Kluyveromyces lactis: one gene and its partners. The protein of the gene in region 2 interacts with the protein of the main gene of each other region in a pairwise test. Links are inferred from orthologs where the notes say so. Each region holds a gene or a part of one and is shown on either strand. Other genes may lie near its edges. The genes, in order: ATP11, RAD51 and MEX67.

Region 1 (2,526 bases), about 1.1 Mb from region 2:
TTCCACCAGATTCGGCGTATTGGCAAATTGTGCACTACCAGAGTTAGACACATTATCTCGTATTGTTTCGCTGAGCTGCTGGCTTTCCTGTAATTGTTGGTGTCTAAGGCGGTTCATTTGAGTATGTGGTAATATCGTTATGGAATCAAGAGGTGTTCGATCATCATCATTATCATCCAAAATTATTTCTGCTGGTTCTAAGTTAGCTGTACTAGGTACTGAAATAGGCTGCGGTCCATTATCAACGTCAGCTTCATCGCCATACCGCCTTTCCTCTTCCAAATCATCCTCCAACACATCATCGTCACCAATGTCTGAGTTCGAATTGACCAGTTCTCCGGTCTCCGCCAATCTTCGCGCCAGCATGCTTAGAGCGTTACTTGATTCAGTGGCAGTACTATCAGATTTTTGACGTTCATGCTCGAATTCAAATACCAACTGTTTGAAGGTTTCGAAATTCGTTACCTTCACGCTACCATATTTAAGATAAACAGAACAAAGCTTATCAAACCTCCTTTTCAATGTCCTAGTTTGCCTGTAATTTAATCCAGATCGCCTATTAAACTCCTTGAGCAAAGTGTTCCATGATTTCATCCTATGGCTATGTGTTTGAAGATGTGGCTTGTATTCTCCCAAAAGAGACACCAAGAGTTCATCCAAATTAGAATGCGAATATATGTGTGACATGTAGGTTAGATTTCGATATTAAAAAGTAGCAGAAAAGGGAAGTATCAAGGTGTGATAACTTCACACCGCAATTCAGTGTGACAATATACTGTTTCAAGTCACACCTAACTCATATTTCTCATCCTCTCAATTTCTTCTTGCATGTATCTTATCTGAACCGGTATACGCTGATTAGAATTTACCTTTTTCTTTAAAAGTTATGAAAAGTGATATTGGAACAAAGTTACTATTACCAACTTTAATGAGATACGGAAGAATTCACTGGAAATAGGTTACTGTAGAGAGTAAGTTCACTAGTTGAAAGAGGATACCTATCAACACAACTTGTGAATCTATCCAGGTAATTTTTCGGACACATGATAAAAAGCTGGACCCGTGTTGTTAAAAGATCGGCCTCGCAACTATCTGCTACGCAATTCAAACGTATTATTGGTGCGTCATCAATCCAATCAAACTCTAGTTACTCTACTGATTCATTAGAACAACAGTACAAGGACAAGCTTTTGGACAAGGCTCGCGAACAAGGTTTTAATAGCATTGAGGAACTTAAGAATTCTTTGAAAGAAGAAATTGAAAAGAAGAAACTCGAGTTAAACAGAATTGATCCACTGAAAGAATTGGAAGACTACGAACAAAGAACCAAAATGTCATCTAACATTGCTAAGTCCCGTGGTCCGATTGATCCATCTATGCCAAAACAGCCGTTTAAGACTTTGGACAGCTTTTTGGATGTGGAAAAAGTGAAAAACCTCTCTAAACAAGAATGCGAATTTCTTTGGAGAGCCAGATGGGCCAATAAGGACAATGTATTGAACGCTGTTGTTCCAATCGATATCTGGGAAAAGATCAGTGCCTTAGCCAAAGAAAACCCATTCTTCGTTATCCCTTTGCCAAGAGAGCGTGCAGTTGAAGAAACTGCTGCTGAATCTGCAGAGAAACAAGAACCGGCCATGGAAATGCATTACATTCAGTGGCAATTTGTAGGACCTAAAACCGTCCACTGTATTATGACTACTCTAGCAGAGTATAAATTGCACAAAGAATTTGCAAGACCTCATACTACTCTACAGTTCCACTTGGATTTGGCCAAGGAAAAGAACATTGTATTGATGAACGGCCAAGTTGAATCTGATTCTAATGTTTCCCTACCAGAATCTCAACTATTGCTTTTGAACGTTCAAAGATTCTATGGTGCTATGGGACAAGACTCCGGGTTTGCCCAAAAGAGGGTCCAACTTTTGAAGGATTTTACCAACGGATCTCCAAACTTCAATGTTGATCTATTAGTTGCTCTTTCTCAAGTTATGGAGTAGTGGAAGATTCCTAATACATTTATATATATTTATATACATATATATATACATGTCGCTTGTATAAAGAAAACATTCCATCATACTCGATCTATGCTAACAGCATGCGGTTTTGAGTAGCAGCAGGCTGTGGTTCGAGGTTGGGCAGCATGCGTTGGAATGGCTTTCTTCTTAGTCACGTGTACTTCATCAAAATGAATTTCACCACTATGACTAAGTGTGGTCCAGAAGTGCTACGAGCATATGGATGCATCGATGACCCAACCTATGAGTAGAATCGATTGAATTCGTTCTGCTCAAACAGTACAAAGCCCCGACAGTAGTTGCACATTGTACACTGTTTGCTGGAAGTTGGAATATCTCCTTGTTTTACTTCTACTACATTTATAATGGCGAAAGTATTGTTCTTGGGCCCTGTGGGAACATATTCACATCAAGCAGCACTCCAACAATTTCCAAACGAGGAGCTAATACCGGTGACATCTATCCCTGCATGTTTCGAAAAGCTCATTTCAGACATAGATATGGA
Region 2 (2,653 bases):
CTGTTTCTTGCCAGAATATGTTCTCTCGCAAACCTTTGTTTTACAAAGTTAACGTGTTTTATATAGAAATGCAAAATTACTCTTTCTTGTCTATATGTGGAAATGGTGAAATTTCCAAAAATTTCGCTTCAGATTGTTGACGTTCGGAATTCCGGTGTGATGAGGTAAAGAATATTAAAAGAAGTCAAGCCTATTAATAGCACACTGACATGGAGAAGTGTTTGTAGCTATGATATGCAAGTCCCTTAAATGAAAGGATAGTCGTCCCTTTTCGCTGAGGGAATTATATGCGTTTTATGCGAGCATTTAACAACTAGAGAGGGTTTGCATGAATATACATATAGAATAACGTGCCCTATGGACTATTTATAACACGAATGATATGAACAAATAAATGAGAAGATAGATACGCAGTGGGGTTTTACTAGCAACGTAGGAAATTGAATGCTATATTAAAAATGTGGATTTTTCTTTTTATTCTTTTTTTTTTGGTGTTATGAATAACCAGGTAAAGAGAATCAGATCAATCATCGTCTTCCCTTGGATCTCCGATACCATCCTCGTAGATCGCAAACACACATTCTGCTTCAGGCAAACATGGTGAGTCTACCACTTTACAGTATCTCTGTGGACCTTTCCCCTTCTTGAATCCAAGACGAGTAGTGGAGGAATGAGCCATGATATTACCACCAATCGGTTTTTTTGGATCAGGGTTAAACATCATTCCTCCGTCAACTTGGGCCACAACCTGATTTGTCACTACCGCTGCGACACCAAACTGATCAGCTAGTCTTTGTAATGATCTCATGAACTTGGCAAGGTGCATCTGTCTTGCACTTAACTCACCACGTCCCGAGAAGTCGGTTCTGTACAATGCCATAATAGAATCGACAATAATCAGCGAAAATCTTGACTCACTCATCATCTGTGCAGCTGCGTCCAACAATTTCAATTGATGGTCTGCGTTATAAGCTCTTGCATATGCAACGTTATTTAAAGCATCGTCAGGGTCCAAACCGAACCTCTGCGCAATCGAAACCAACCTAATCGGTCTGAATGTACCCTCCGTATCAATGTACAAACACTTGCCTTCACCGCCTCCCATATCCAAAGGTATCTGGCATGTGACAGCCAATGTATGGCAAAGTTGCGATTTACCAGTTCTAAACTCACCAAACAGTTCAGTGATAGATCCGGTTTCTATCCCTCCGCCAAGTAGAGTATCAAGATTTTTCGATCCAGTAGTTAAACAGATCATTTCGTTTCTACGCAAATGAAAATCAGCCGCAGTGACAAAACCCATAGGCACTAGTCTCGACGCTTCAGCGAGTAACTTATCAGCTTTAGCCTCTGATATACCTTTAATCTCCATTAAATCTTTTCTGGGGGCATATGCCACCGCCTCCGCTGTGTGTAACCCACTTTCTCTTAGTTTCTTGATATCACCAGAAGTGATACCGTTCACCTGCAATTTCTCTATTGGGACAAAGGCGGCTAGAGCCACATCGTCTTCTTCAGCCATAAAATCCGTTTCCTGAATTCTTTGCTGAACATCTTCCATCTGTTCTTCGGTTCGTGAGACCATCAACTGAGAATGGCCCTGAGTAGTCTGAACTTCTTCCACCTGTGACATTTCTAATTCTGTGGAGTCAATTTAGCCTGGTTCAAGCGACCTTATAACCACTACAATACCCTTTCACAACTAGGATAGAAAACTGCTTCTCCCAAGAAAAGTGAACGTAATTGATTAATGATGTCTCATGTAATGTAATTAATAATTAAATTATATAGCCTTTTTCGTGTTTTGGTGTTTTGTTTTTTTTATTCAAATTTCAAACCAAAACAAATTAAAATGGTAAACAGTCCCTGAAGAGTGTTTATTTACATGGCACGTGACTCTTCAGTCACATGTCATATTGCGGTGGGTGGTGGATCAAGAAAGATTATCTCATCATGGTCCTCCCCATCATGACCATCACCGGAACTGAGTTCGAAAGGTTTAAGTGTAACACATGCAGTGCATTGCTTGTTCTGTCTTCCATCTTTTCTACATAGTACTGATAAATATAAAGTAGTGAGCCATATATGTTTGTAGAAAGCCATATTACTTGCAGTGTTATCATGTACAATAGATGTTGATCTTTGTCTCACTGCGTCTTTCCTTAGCGGCTTTTCTTAGCGGCTTTACTTTTATATCAGAATTAGGCAATAATATGAAAAGAAATATCGAAATTGTTGCCAAAATGAAATCTTAAAAGGAATTTTAAAATGGCCAACCGTTACATCAGGCACTATTAAACAGCGATAGATTTGATCGCCAAGTTCTCAAGAACGTCTTATTAATAAGTTCAGCCTTTCTGTCTCGGATATTTTTTTGTGGGGGAATCCTTGAATTCTTCGCTGACCGCTTGAACCTTGGCTTCTACCTTGGATAGAGAAGAATTGAAAGGTGTTTTGCGTATGTCAAAGGGCTTTAAGCAGAGGATTATACATAGTGTAGGGATAGAATCACATACAGAAAATTGCCATAATTGCCATCGATGGGTGCGTTTATAACTCCTAATAAGAACCAGAATCATAACAGATTGATGGTAGGCAATGAACAGTCCGATCCACCAATAGTGGAATCTCCGAAGATGACGAATATCCATGC
Region 3 (3,767 bases), on a different chromosome or scaffold from region 2:
GATTAAGTCTGGCACAACAACATAAGATGGTTTGAAGTTGAACATTTTGTCAACGAAGTGAGATGCTGTTTCAGAATGAATACCGTGTTTTGTGTACTCTTGCGAAGTGCTCCACCATTTAGAAACTACCATGGGTAACACAAACGCAAGTAGAATGAAATATGCAAAAACAACAAATGGGGAAGTACCTCCTTCCACCAAGAACTTGGGCAAAGCGATACCGTGAGAAGTAGATTGAGGACCATCTGGATGACCATACTTTCTATAATTTTCCTTCGTAATTTCATCAGTTAAAGCCTTATAAGCCTTGTTAATCATCACGAACTGTTCCTCCATAGCCGTTCTTTCAATCTCATTTAGGTCCTTGGAAAGCTTATCGGGATGGAATTTGACAGATAATTTCCTGTATGCAGACTTGATCTCTTTATCGGTAGACGAAAGCGTCACACCAAGTAACTCATATGGATCAAAAGCCGCTGCTGCAATCTGATAGATAGCATCGTTGGAACGAATATGATAAATCAACATCGAAATGAGCACCCAACCAACGGTAATGAAGTAAATTCCCTTCTTGGACCTTTTCTTCTTATTAGCAAGTCTATATTTCCGAACTTCTTCTGAAGTATATTTTTCGTGCAATTGACTCCATTCTGATGAAGAACTCTTATCGCTGGAGTCCCCAACAATCAATCTATACAGCTCAATCAATGTTACCGGTGTAACAGCCACAAATAACACCGTGAGTACGAAAAATGGCCATGTGGTGCTTGCCTCATCGTAATCATAATTCTGCGGCATGGCGTCGTTGTCTGTTCGTCTGCTTGTCTGTTGTAGAACCAAAAGACTGCCAATAAATTAAGCCGCTACAATAAAACACACAGCAGGCAGCAATCAAAAAAAGTGAACCACAGTGTACTATTAAACAAAAAAGCCTTCAAACTGCAAACAATTATTCCTCTGATCTAGAAAAGTAGTTAACAGTTAACTTATTTCGATTTTAATATGCCAGTCTGTATTTTCCAAAAACCTTTGGGTTTTTTTCCTTCTGTTTGAAACACTATACGTATTCAATACGGCAGAGCTTAGAAGAACAAATAGAAGAGAAAGACCAAAAAAAAAAAAGATATTTATACGTCACGTGCTCGTAATATATCACATGACCTTGAATTTTCTGTTTCGATTTGGTCGATCATCTCTTTCTACTAAACTGAAGAATAAAATTAAAAAAAAAAATGCTAAAAACCTAGAAATAATCAAAAAATGTGCTAGTCTCATTGGTAATTGAGATGGGAATAGAGATTGAAAGATGAGGCTCACCGGGTTAACCGATTTGGTTGAGAAAAGTCTTGTGATATAGCGTTACTAGAGTGATGCAAGTTAGTGGTTTTGGTAACGTGAATCAGATTGGTGCTTTGGCACAGCAAAACCAATTGGATAACTTAGTCAGCGTTAGCATTCGTGGATGGACTAACGCTACTCAACAGGATTTGTTGAATTTCATTTCGAGAAAGACCAGGATCTCAGTGAGAAACTCTGTGGTTCAAGGGGACACTATAGTTGGTTATGTGACACCGCAGGAGGCAGATCAATTGGTGAAATTTAGTGGGTACCGGTTTGCAGGCAATTCATTGAAGATTCACAAGGCAGCCGGTGGGAACACAAACCCTAATACGAATGATACGATAACCGTTCTTCGTAATGTGCTTTTGAGAAGATATAATGTGCAAACGAGGATGTTGGATCTTGGTAATTTGTTCAATGATCCGGAGTTGGTGCAACGCGGTATGGCTCCGAAAAATGTTAATACGCAGTCCAAGATGTTCCCGGCTATGATGAAAGTGGCTTCAAAGGAGCCTAGCATGGTTGTTGAATCGATCAACCTATCTGATAATAATTTGAGAGACGTCAATGGTGTTACCACGTTGGCACAGACTTTCCCTCATTTGAAAAACCTATGCATCGCCAATAATAGTATTAGTCGATTCCATTCTCTTGAAGTTTGGAAGAATAAATTCAAAGAGTTGAGGGAGCTTCTGATGATGAATAATCCAATTACATCGGATCGTTTATATCGTACAGAAATGTTAAGGATATTCCCCAAATTGGTGATTCTAGATAACGTTGTCGTTCGTGACGAGCAGAAACTACTGTCTATCTATAGCTTACCGGTACAACAAACCCAGTTCTTTTTCGAAGATAATGGATTGGCATCATCGTCAACAGATTTTATTACCAACTTCTTGAACTTGTGGGATTCGAATAGAATGCAATTGATGGGTTTGTACACTCCACAGTCTCAATTTTCCTTAAGTGTTGATTCTTCCGTTCCAGCTGCTACTGTACCTAATGCTCAAACGACTCCTACATTCGGTCATTACTTACCATTTTCAAGAAACATTTCCAAGATATCTAGCGACAAGACCATCCAAGAACGGTTACGTATAGGGCCCGAAGCAATTTATGAAGTGTTCGGATCTCTCCCTATGACAAAACATTTTTTGCAAGAACAACCTGATGCTTACTCTGTGCAAGCCTGGACCTTCCCACAAGTTCAAGGGTTTGTTATCACTCTTCATGGCCATTTCGATGAAACTGCCAAACCTGAAATTGACAAGAGCAAAACATCACAAGGATCATCTGCCTCTAGAGGAAGGAGATACAACCATGGATTTACGTCTACGCCGAACATCAAACTTTCACAGAAATCCTTCGATAGAACAATGGTCTTAGTTCCAAGTCCAAATGGTAGTGTCATCATTGCATCTGATTCGTTGACGATAAGGCCATTCTGTGATAGCGCTTGGTCTAAACCACCTTCTCCACCACATCTCCAAGCTCAATCTGTGCAACATCAGCCACAAATGAACGTGCCCCTCTCACAAACTCCGCCAAATACATCATCCATTCCTGGCCAAATCCCGGGAGTTCTTGGATCGACACCTTTGCAATTCTCACCGGAAGTGCAAGCAAAATTGTCACCTGTACAATTAGAACTACTTCAGAAGTTACACCTTGAAACAAAGCTTAACGCTGAGTACACTTATATGCTTGCCGAGCAAAGTCTTTGGAACTATGATAATGCTATCCAAGGATTTAGAAACAGTGCAAACAATCTACCCAGAGAGGCATTCATCTAAAAGTATTGAGCTAATCATGTGCGCTTCTTTAAAAAAGAACATCTTAATTCATTCAGTATAATATATAGTTGCATCTCACACAAATAAATTAAACTAAGTATATCCATCTATTTATATCAGTTGGATTCAAGGTGACTTGACTCTGTGACTATTTTTTATCATATATCCTGTTTGTCACAAAGTGTACGTCAATAAAAAAAGGGCCTAACATTCAGAACATTATACTAGCCAATGAACTCTTAAGCAAATTACAAATTGTGATTATAAGCTCACTACAGTTTTGCTGAAAACTCACTATTCCAAGGCAATATAACTACATTAAATGAGATCGATACCAGAACCTCGCCAATCAAAATATAATCGATTTAGAAGGTTATTTAATAAGGTGCATAATTGTGTCACTTTGAAAAGATTGAAAAGGCGATGGAACCTACACAAGTTGAAGAAGAGCTCAAGGAATACAAATCAGAGATCTGCAATCCCAATAGACCGTATTGCTAATCTTCCTACTGGTATGTCGCATAAATCGAGTAACATGAAACCATTGCTTCTAGTATCGTTTAATAAAGGTCAGGAGAATTCGCCAAAGGTGAGAATTCTAGAAACCAATGGACATTTGAGATCTTGGAT

The links.
Region 1: the proteins of RAD51 (region 2) and ATP11 interact in a two-hybrid assay, tested with the Schizosaccharomyces pombe proteins (2 studies listed by BioGRID). The link is inferred for Kluyveromyces lactis from reciprocal best matches to the Schizosaccharomyces pombe genes rad51 and atp11.
Region 3: the proteins of RAD51 (region 2) and MEX67 interact in a two-hybrid assay, tested with the Schizosaccharomyces pombe proteins (2 studies listed by BioGRID). The link is inferred for Kluyveromyces lactis from reciprocal best matches to the Schizosaccharomyces pombe genes rad51 and mex67.

Annotation. Positions count from the first base shown.
Region 1 is NC_006041.1:652,951-655,476, reverse strand, and holds ATP11 (Atp11p), read left to right. Parts: upstream 1-1,043; coding exon 1,044-2,000; downstream 2,001-2,526. Other genes in the region: DAL82 (Dal82p), read right to left, coding at 1-687; prephenate dehydratase PHA2, read left to right, coding at 2,387-2,526. UniProt on the Schizosaccharomyces pombe protein: Essential for the assembly of the mitochondrial F1-F0 complex. May interact with the alpha and/or beta subunits of F1-ATPase.
Region 2 is NC_006041.1:1,798,311-1,800,963, reverse strand, and holds RAD51 (recombinase RAD51), read right to left. Parts: upstream 1,634-2,653; coding exon 524-1,633; downstream 1-523. Other genes in the region: Arf family guanine nucleotide exchange factor YEL1, read left to right, coding at 2,541-2,653. UniProt on the Schizosaccharomyces pombe protein: Required both for recombination and for the repair of DNA damage caused by X-rays. Binds to single and double-stranded DNA, in the presence of magnesium, and exhibits DNA-dependent ATPase activity.
Region 3 is NC_006039.1:845,672-849,438, reverse strand, and holds MEX67 (Mex67p), read left to right. Parts: upstream 1-1,370; coding exon 1,371-3,137; downstream 3,138-3,767. Other genes in the region: protein-transporting protein SEC63, read right to left, coding at 1-798; OSW1 (Osw1p), read left to right, coding at 3,460-3,767. UniProt on the Schizosaccharomyces pombe protein: Involved in the export of mRNA from the nucleus to the cytoplasm.